2 linked regions of the Canis lupus familiaris genome follow. The protein of the gene in region 2 binds, or shares a complex with, the protein of the main gene of each other region. Links are inferred from orthologs where the notes say so. Each region holds a gene or a part of one and is shown on either strand. Other genes may lie near its edges. The genes, in order: CD320 and TCN2.

Region 1 (4,574 bases), on a different chromosome or scaffold from region 2:
GATCCCTGGAGTACAAGGTCAGTCAGGTCGCAGATACCTACCCACCAGTGCTGGGCTATGCCCCTCCACCCGGCCCCCTCGTAAGCCTGCCTTCTAGGAACAGGTGACCCTAGAAAATCCGGCCATCCCTAGAGGCTTCCACTTGTTAGCTCCACCTTCCACGGACTGGCCTCGCTGCAAGCCCCTCATCCCAAGGCCCCACTCAGTGGGTTCCCAGTAAACCCACCTCTTCTCACACCTGACACCCTGTAAACCCTGCCCACCCTCAGGCCCCGCCCCACTATCCCCACCCCACCCCCAAGCTACACTCCTCCCCACACACTCAGCCTCCCCACGGCCCCAGGTGCTCGGCCACTCACTGCACTCATCCTCATCGCTGCCGTCGGGGCAGTCCTCGTCACCGTCGCAGCGCAGGGTGAGGGGCACACAGAAGCCACTGGTGCGGCACTGGAAGCTGGCAGGTGGGCACGAGCCTGCAAGATGCACAAGAGTGAGATCCGGGCCCCCTCCCCCCAGGGGCACAGTGCCAACAGACTGCGACCACCGACCACCACCGACCACCACCAGAGGCAGGCCGGGTCCCAGGGCGCTGGATCGACACTGGTGGCCACCAATTTGCTGAGGACCTACTGCGCTGGAGGCTTGGAGGGCAGGTGCAACTGCCATCCCCATGCTGCAGAAGCCACCGAGGAGGGAGGCAAGGCCCAGGGCTGTGGAGCTGGTGGCAGCTTCGTTTGGAACCCAGGTCTCACTGATCCTGGAGTTTTTACCCGGCTCCAGCCTGGATGGTCTCCCCAAGATCGGCGGTTAGACAGACTGGGGTAGGGGCCATCTCTGAAACTGCCCTGGACGGGGTCCATGGTGAGGGTCAGCTGGGCCCACTATAACCCACCTGCTTCGCCAAGGGGAAACTGAGGCTCCGGGCAGCGGACCTGCTGAGTTACCAAGGCTTGTCCACTCACTTCCTAAACTCCTCCCAGATCCGACCACTGTCCCCATCCTGAATGTGCCACCTCCTCACCAGGCCCCACCCCCATCTCCAGCCTCAGAGTCACATCATTCAGTCACTGGCCCTTGCCTCCCCTCTGCTCAGAATCCTGCCCTGGTCCCCTGAGCCTCTCATACCAAATCCCTACTTTGTCTATGTGGCCACAAGGCCTGGCCCAGCCCTGTGGCAAACCCTTCCGCGACCTCACCTCCTCCCTCCTTCTTCCTCTTCATCCGGATCCCTCTGTCCTGGCCTCCCCACTGTTCTCCAAGAGGCTTGGCTTGTTTCTGCCCCAGGGCCTTTGCCTGAGCTGGTCCTTGGCCCAGTGCTCCCTCCTCCCCTCACTCTGCAACTGGTGATTCCTCCTCAGTTTTCAGATCTCAGCTTTCTTCTCGGAAGGGGTCTCATGCACCTCTCAGAGACGCCTAAAGCTCCACCTTCCACTTACAACAACGCTCCTCAAACTGGTATCCACACAGACCGGACACTGCGCGATCAGGGCTGGGACCTCGTGACCCCAAGCCCAGGGTGGTACAGACACAAGTCACACAAGGGTCCAGGCTGTGTCCTGATGAGATCTGAGCCTTCCTGGACCCCAGGAGATGAGGTTTAGGCTACATGCTGATGGGGAGGAGCACAGAAGGGCCTAGAACCTGGGCTGGCAGGAGGGAGTCTGATGGACAGAGGGAAGGAATGGCTTTTAAGGCTCTCCTCCTGGGGGCGGGGAGGGGGGGGCACGTGGCCTGGACCCAACCTAGTGGCCCTCCATTCCATCCTGGTCCTCTTGCCACCTCCACCTTTACTCAGAGGCCTGAGGCTCCAAACCCCCTTCTCCCCACAGCCAGCACCCTCCATGGGCCTCTAGGCTCAATGAGACCTGTGGCCCACACGGTCCCTGAGCTTTTGAAGCCAGGAAGAGCTGCGGCCAACCTGGATCTGGCTTCCTTCCCTGCCCGCGGGGGTCTGGCGGTCTGGGCGCAGCTTCCTCTCCAGGCCTAGCCACTCCCGGCCCTGCCAACATCACACCTCCCTCCCTGGAGTGTACGCTCTTCCTGAAAGTGGGAGCAGAGCACAGCAGACCAGGCCTCACAGGGCTGGGGGGTCAGACAGGAGCTGAAGCGACCAGTGCCTTTCCCTCCCAGCCTCAGTTCCCTCCCCCGTACGAGGAGCACACCAAGAGTCCCTCCCTCAGTGTCCTGAGGACAGAGCCCACTTGTAGACTCTGGTCCTTGGTTAGTGAGTCCTGCCTCCTTAAAGGGCCCAGGAACATTCAGCCTGCGGAGGTGCAAGGGGTGAGGCAGGAGCCCAGGTAAGGCGGCATCATGCAGGAAAGGGGCAAGTGAGTGAACCTGAGCTCAGAGCTGAGAGCCCGGGTCACCTGTGCCTACAGAGGTCGCTCTACCCCGCCCGGCTGCCTCTGGGAACCCCGGAGCGGGCCTCCAAGATCATTAGGCCCAGGGGCAGGTGCCCAAGGGCGGAGTCCCCGGGAGCGAGGGAAGCCTTTCATCCTCCGAGGCCAGCGGAGGGAGGCGCGGAGGCGCGGAGGCGCGGAGACGGGGAGGGCGGGGGCTGGTCGCCCAGAACACTGGGCCGTACCGGGTCCGGGGCGAGCGAGGGCTCGGGAGGCAGCTGCTGCCGGAGGCGCCGGGCGGCCGGCCCTGCAGCTAGAGGTCGGACGCCGGGAGCCCACCACGCGCCTCCCGCCCGCGCCGGGGGAAGGGCGCCCGCAAAGCTGAGCCGCGGCGCGGGGCCGGCAGGCGCAAGCGGCACCCCGCGGCGCCCGGGTCCCCACCAGGCGCCCCGCACGCGCGAGCCCCGGGCCACGTGCCGGGGGAGTGTCCGGGACGGCCCGGCCGCACAGCCAATGGCGAGGGCCGCCGGCGCGGGGCGGGGCGCGGCCGCCCGAGGGGCGCGCGGGGCGCCGGAGCTCACTCACCCGGGGCCTGGGCCAGGAGCCGGAGCGGGACCGGCGTCGGGGCGGCCTCCAGGCCCAGCCCGAAGCCGAGCAGCAGCCGCAGCGCCAGGCCCAGGGCCGCGGGCCGCCGCACTCCGCCCCGCGCCATGCCTCCGCCGCCGCCGCGCCGCCCCCGCCAGGGCTCGGACCACGCGCCCGGGGCCTCGCTTTTATGCCCCCGCGCACGCGCGCTGCGGCCGGGGCGGAGCCCCAGCCCCGAGGAGCGGCGGCGCCCGCGGCCAAGGGTACCGTAAACGTCCGAATACGAGGGGACCCGCAATTTCAGGCTCTACCCGCTTTCTCCGGGGACCGGGAACATCGAAAGGTGTTGGGCCCATTTGAAGGTAGGGACTATGGGGACGTAAGCGAACTGGTCGGTGTCTACGTACAACATCGGATGTGTCGCATGCGTCCCGCAGCAAGTGCGCTCGTCGAATCGTCATATTTAATACGGCGCCCACTCCCCTCAGGCACGCCCCAGCCTCTCCCGCCTCCAGCTTCTCCAATGCCCCGGGGCTCTCCGCTTCGCTAACTTTGATTTAGGGTCTCGATGACCCACTAGAGCGTCCGCTGCAGGACCGCAATGCTGTGGTGTTCGTTGCATCCCCCGTGCCTAAGCACAGCGTCTGCCACAGTAGTAGGCTCTTAAACATTTAGGGAATGAACGAACGAGACACGTCCAGACCTCCCGGGCTTCCATCAAGGTCCTGTCCCTCGCACCTGGAGGCGCTCACCCCCGCCCACTGCCCCATTTAGTCCTCCTCACCGGGATAGGATTCTTCTCAAGGTAGCAAAGGTCCCCTGTGGGCTTTCCCTTCGCGTGCTCAAGCAGTAGGCACGTAAATTACACATGTCCCGCAGGCTTTCTGTCCAATCAGCTGCTCTGTTTTCTTGAGACTAAGTATTTATCTATAGCTCTGCCTTCAGAAGAAGCAACCGGTCTGTCGGCCAGCACAACCCCAGGCGTGTTGGTTCCTTAGTGTTGACAGGCGCGCAAGGATCTATCACCCCGTTTCCCAGGTAGCAACGCTACAGCATCCAGATTTTTCCCACAAGGGGCTCTGTTTGCAGATTGTTGGCATGTTTCGCGATTTGAAAATGTTGAAAGTTACACCTGCTTTTTGAGTGTGTATATATTGTGTGTGTGTTGGGTTTTATTGCTGTTGTTTCAGAATCTCCCAGATTCCCAGGGGAAATGGGTAAGAGGTAAAGGTGTACAGGTGCAGAGGCAGATGGAAAGGTGACAAACAGGACCCGGCATGCATGGGTGGGGAGCATCCCATCTTTGAGGCTCAAAGGTCTCTGAGGTGCAGGGAGAAAAGTTGAAGAAGCCATTGATTTGTAGTAGTTAGGCAGAGTCATCAGCAGCCAGGTTCACACCAGATTTCGGGGAGCTGGCGAGGGTTTCCAGTGCTCCCATTCCTGTTCTGTCCCAAGGTTGTGGCAACACCAATGACCTCACAGGATTGCTCCACCAAGGAGCAGAGATCCTGAAAGCATTCAGAACAGGGCATAGCACACAGAAAAGCTCAGCTGTCAGACCTCTTTCCCTTGTGAAATTTCAAGTCTGGGTCTTAAAATTATTCAGAAACCTTCAATGGCATATCTTGTCTGCATCTGTGGAAGCCCTCA
Region 2 (3,801 bases):
CTCCCTGAAGTCTGAATGTCCCAGGGAAGGGAGATGGCTTAGTCTTGATTTGCTGAGTCCACAGGTGTTTGTGGGTGCACATGGGACACACCTGCAGCTAAGATGTAGACATAGCTTCCAGAAAGTCATAGTGTGGGGAAAGAGATACCAAAATAGAGAGCTCTGGGTGGGCCATGAATCTGCAGCCCCTCATGTAATACCCCATGCAGAAATGTTTGAATGAGTAAATGGGGAGAGACACATTTTGGATAGTCCTGATACATCATAATGAGTTCCAATTAGCAGCTTGAATCAGGGCTTCATCTGGGAGAGGGACTTGAGTTGGTGAGTAGGATTTGCTGGAGGATAAGAGCAATAGCAAGGGCAGAACAGAGAGGGGGCGGTAGGAACAAAGGTGCCAAGGTATAGAAGACTGACATTTGGGGAAAAGGTCTTCCTAGAAACTGGGATATGGAAGAATGAGATGGAGTTGCAGGCAGGAGAATGAAAAGAAGGGGAGACCCTCTGTGGTAATGGTGTGTGTGGGGTGATATGAACAGATGCATGTTCAAGAAAGATACCTTGGGCTGCTCTGTGGCAGATAGGTGGTAAGGGGGATACTGGAGTCAGAAAAACCAGGGAGGGGCCCAAGCTTGGGCAACCTTGGCACATGAGGGCAAAGGGACAGGGGAGGCTGGGCTGGTGGCTGGGGGTGGTGCTGGCTGGGATGGACCACAGTGTCCTCGAGGGAAGAAAGGATGACTAGCACCTGGCTCCCTGCCCTCACACTAGCTACCCCTTCCTCTCTCTCTGGCATAGTCCTATTGCAACCAGCCATGGAGAATCCTTCACAGACCCGAGAGGTCATCAGCGTCATGCTGAAGGTCCCCAGTGTCTTGCCACCATACAGACACTCCATCTCTGTCCCTGCTGGGTCCTCCTTGGAAGATGTCTTTAAGAAGGCCCAGGAGCTCGGAGGATTCACGTAAGACCCCTACCTCTTGGTCCTCACCCCACCGGACCCCACATCCCTGAAACAGAACATGGATGGGATGGGGATGGAAGAAGAGGTTCCCCAGTAGAGGTGCTGGCCCAGGCTCTGTTGTCTTCACTCCTTTTTCTTTTCTTTTTTTTTTAAGATTTTATTTATTTATTCATGAGAGACACAGAGAGAGGCAGAGACATAGGCAGAGGGAGAAGCAGGCTCCCTACATGGAGCCTGATATGGGACTCAATCCCAGGACCCTGGGATCACAGCCTGAGCCAAAGGCAGATGCTCAACCATTGAGCTACCCAGGCATCCCCACCTTCTCTATTCCTGAATGGCCCACACTGTAGTGGAAACGGGCTGCTGTGGGCCAGCATTGTCGGTGGCTCTGAGAACATGCTCTGGGGGCAGAGCATCCACATTGGAATCCCAGCTCCACTACTCCCCAGCCAGGTACCCAGAGCTAGTTATTTACCTGCAGCCCAGTGAGAACACCAGCTGTGCCCTGCTCCTCACAGGGCCCATGCAAGGAGTCTAGGAATTAGCACACAAAGAGGACATGGCATATGTGGGAAGTGGCACCTGCACTTAGTTAGCTCAATACAGGCTAGCTTTCAAAAGAATAAGAATTTTTATTATCAGGCAATCTTGGCCTCATTCCTGTGACGAATTACCTTGGGCAAGTCCTCTGTAGAATGTAGAGGTTGGACAACATCCTTAAACTTACTTCTCACTCTGACAAGATTCGACAAGTCTGGGGCTGAGGATTTCTAGAGCATTGCTCTATGCCCAGCCATGTCCATGCTTAAATAACATGGGTGGAATTCTTGTGTTACCAATGGGGAATCTGAACCAGAGGAGTTGAGTGCTTCCACGGGATCACCCAGACTCCAGACTTCTCTTCTAGAAAGCTGGGCCTCAGTTTGAGAGGGCCTCAGTTTCTGTTCCCCACCTGGAGTTCCCAAAGGACAAAGAGGGTCCATAGCTGGTGTCTTGAAATTGTCTGGGCCAGGGAATTTTGGGCCAGAGATACACAAAAACCCCTTTAAAGAACAAAAATTCTCCCAGACCTAGGTTATTTCTGTTATACTATGACTTAGATGTATATTATTATGGTTACCATTAAAAGTCCCTTTTCTTTCTGGCTCCAAACATCTGTAAATCCTAAACAACTTTGCAAATTAGATATAAAGTGTAAAAAGAGTAACATTTAAATAAGGACTATTTGCTGAGGAGCCAGGTGTACATGGCCAGGCATGGGATGGGGTGAGCCCGATGCTCTCAGCTGCTGAGGCCTGAGCTACTGTCAAGCCTGAGTTTGTCCAGGTGACTGTGGCTTCTTAGGCCCTTCCCTGGCCCCGAACACTCCATTCACTACTGAGCCCACCTCAGTTCTCTTCCCAGTAGTCTGCAGTGCATACAACACAGTCCCAGATGGCCACACACACTGAGCAACTTGGCAGGCCCAGTCTAGCAGGCATTGAGAGTATGCAGAACCTGCTGGCATTCATGTCTGAATCATGTCCTCAAAATGAAGAAAAATGGAACTTAACATTCTAATGCAGAAGTCCAGGATCTCTGAGAAGACATCAGGGAAACAATTTTGTCAGTGGGGGTGGGTGCCTGAACTGGGTGCAGAGGCCAGACAGGAAGGTTGTATTTAGGGGCCTATAAATGAACGGCAGAGAAAGGTAGACTGCAGAGAGATCCAGAGAGAAAGAGAGGGGAGAGAAAGAGAGAGAGAGAGAGAGAAATAGAAACAGACGTACTCTAAGCAGCCACATGGACCCACAGAGTTAGAGAATGACAGGACAACAGGGGCTACTCTATGACAACCCCCTCTCCCCCGAACACTTTCCCTTTGACGAAGTGACCCTGAGTGGTTTTCTGTCTCCTAAAACGATAGAAACTTTCCCTCCCTAAGACAGAACCATTGATAAGCCTTTTGGAGGGAGGAAGAACATGACTCATGGACTTTTAAGAGGACCCTTTTGGCAGCAGTGTCCATGTGATTTGGAGAAATGCACAGTTGGAGACAAGGAGCTCAGGGAGGGGGTGTTGTAAATAAGGAGTCTCTTGGCCACAGTGGCCAGAAACCTAACTCTAACCCTCTTTGGTAATGGGGAGCATGGGGTGTGTAGAATCAGAGAGAAGATTAAGCCACCCAGCCATAAGAGAAGGGGAATGCCACTGAGCCCAGATTCTTCCAGAACCAGAGACCCAGTGCCACCACCATATCTCCGTCTTACACATCCCTGCTTCTCTGCATGCTGGTTTCACCCTCTCTCATTGGACATTGGCATCTTAATGTGGTTCTGGCAGCTTCTGCTCCTCACCCCACAATGTCAGCTCCCAGAGAGGGGGCAGCTGCTGAGCCAGTAATGTAATAAGCGTCCCTTCCTAAGCCATGGTCCTGGTCAGTGAGGAGGGGTAAAGTCTCCTGAATGGGCAGTGTCGGGGGGAGTAGAGGAGGGGTAGAGGTGAGGCCCATGGCCTGGAAAGGATTTGGTGAGCTCTGGCCCTGAGGGACAGGCCAGGGCTTTCCTGGTGGGGGTAGTTCTGTTTCTGCCCTCAGGTCAGTGGAAGCAAAAGTCACCCCTTCTTCCTCTGCCTCTCCCTTTGGTAGGTATGGAACGCAGAACACCTTGTCGGGCCCCTACCTGACTTCCGTGATGGGGAAAGAAGTTGGGGAACGTGAGTTCTGGCAGCTCCTCCGAGCCCCTGACACCCCGCTCCTAGAAGGTAAGTCTGGTGGCCACCCACCTCTGGACATCTCCCCTGACCAGCCTGGTTGCTGTGAGGCTTCCCCAGCTCACCTCGGCTTTCCCCTGAAC

Evidence for each region.
Region 1: the proteins of TCN2 (region 2) and CD320 are in contact, whole or in part, in a crystal structure (PDB 7QBF), measured with the Homo sapiens proteins. The link is inferred for Canis lupus familiaris from reciprocal best matches to the Homo sapiens genes TCN2 and CD320. Residues at the interface, in NP_000346.2 of Homo sapiens: Asp70, Leu71, His74, Lys77, Leu78, Gln81, Gln82, Glu91, Asp92, Arg120, Gly121, His122, Lys123, Asp125, Arg126, Val128, Ser129, Lys132, Trp133, Glu136, Arg140, Lys169, Arg170, His172; in NP_057663.1 of Homo sapiens: Thr57, Lys58, Leu66, Cys67, Val68, Pro69, Trp72, Asp75, Arg76, Asp77, Leu78, Asp79, Leu133, Glu136, Cys145, Ile146, Pro147, Thr149, Trp150, Asp153, Gly154, His155, Pro156, Asp157, Cys158, Pro159.

What each region holds. Positions count from the first base shown.
Region 1 is NC_049241.1:53,294,860-53,299,433, forward strand, and holds the start of CD320 (CD320 antigen), read right to left. Parts: upstream 3,070-4,574; 5' UTR 3,052-3,069; coding exon 2,925-3,051; intron 2,453-2,924; exon of another isoform or gene 2,010-2,452; coding exon of another isoform or gene 1,919-2,009; intron 474-1,918; coding exon 360-473; intron 6-359; coding exon 1-5. UniProt on the Homo sapiens protein: Receptor for transcobalamin saturated with cobalamin (TCbl). Plays an important role in cobalamin uptake. Plasma membrane protein that is expressed on follicular dendritic cells (FDC) and mediates interaction with germinal center B cells.
Region 2 is NC_049247.1:24,112,273-24,116,073, forward strand, and holds part of TCN2 (transcobalamin-2), read left to right. Parts: intron 1-798; coding exon 799-964; intron 965-3,593; coding exon 3,594-3,709; intron 3,710-3,801. UniProt on the Homo sapiens protein: Primary vitamin B12-binding and transport protein. Delivers cobalamin to cells.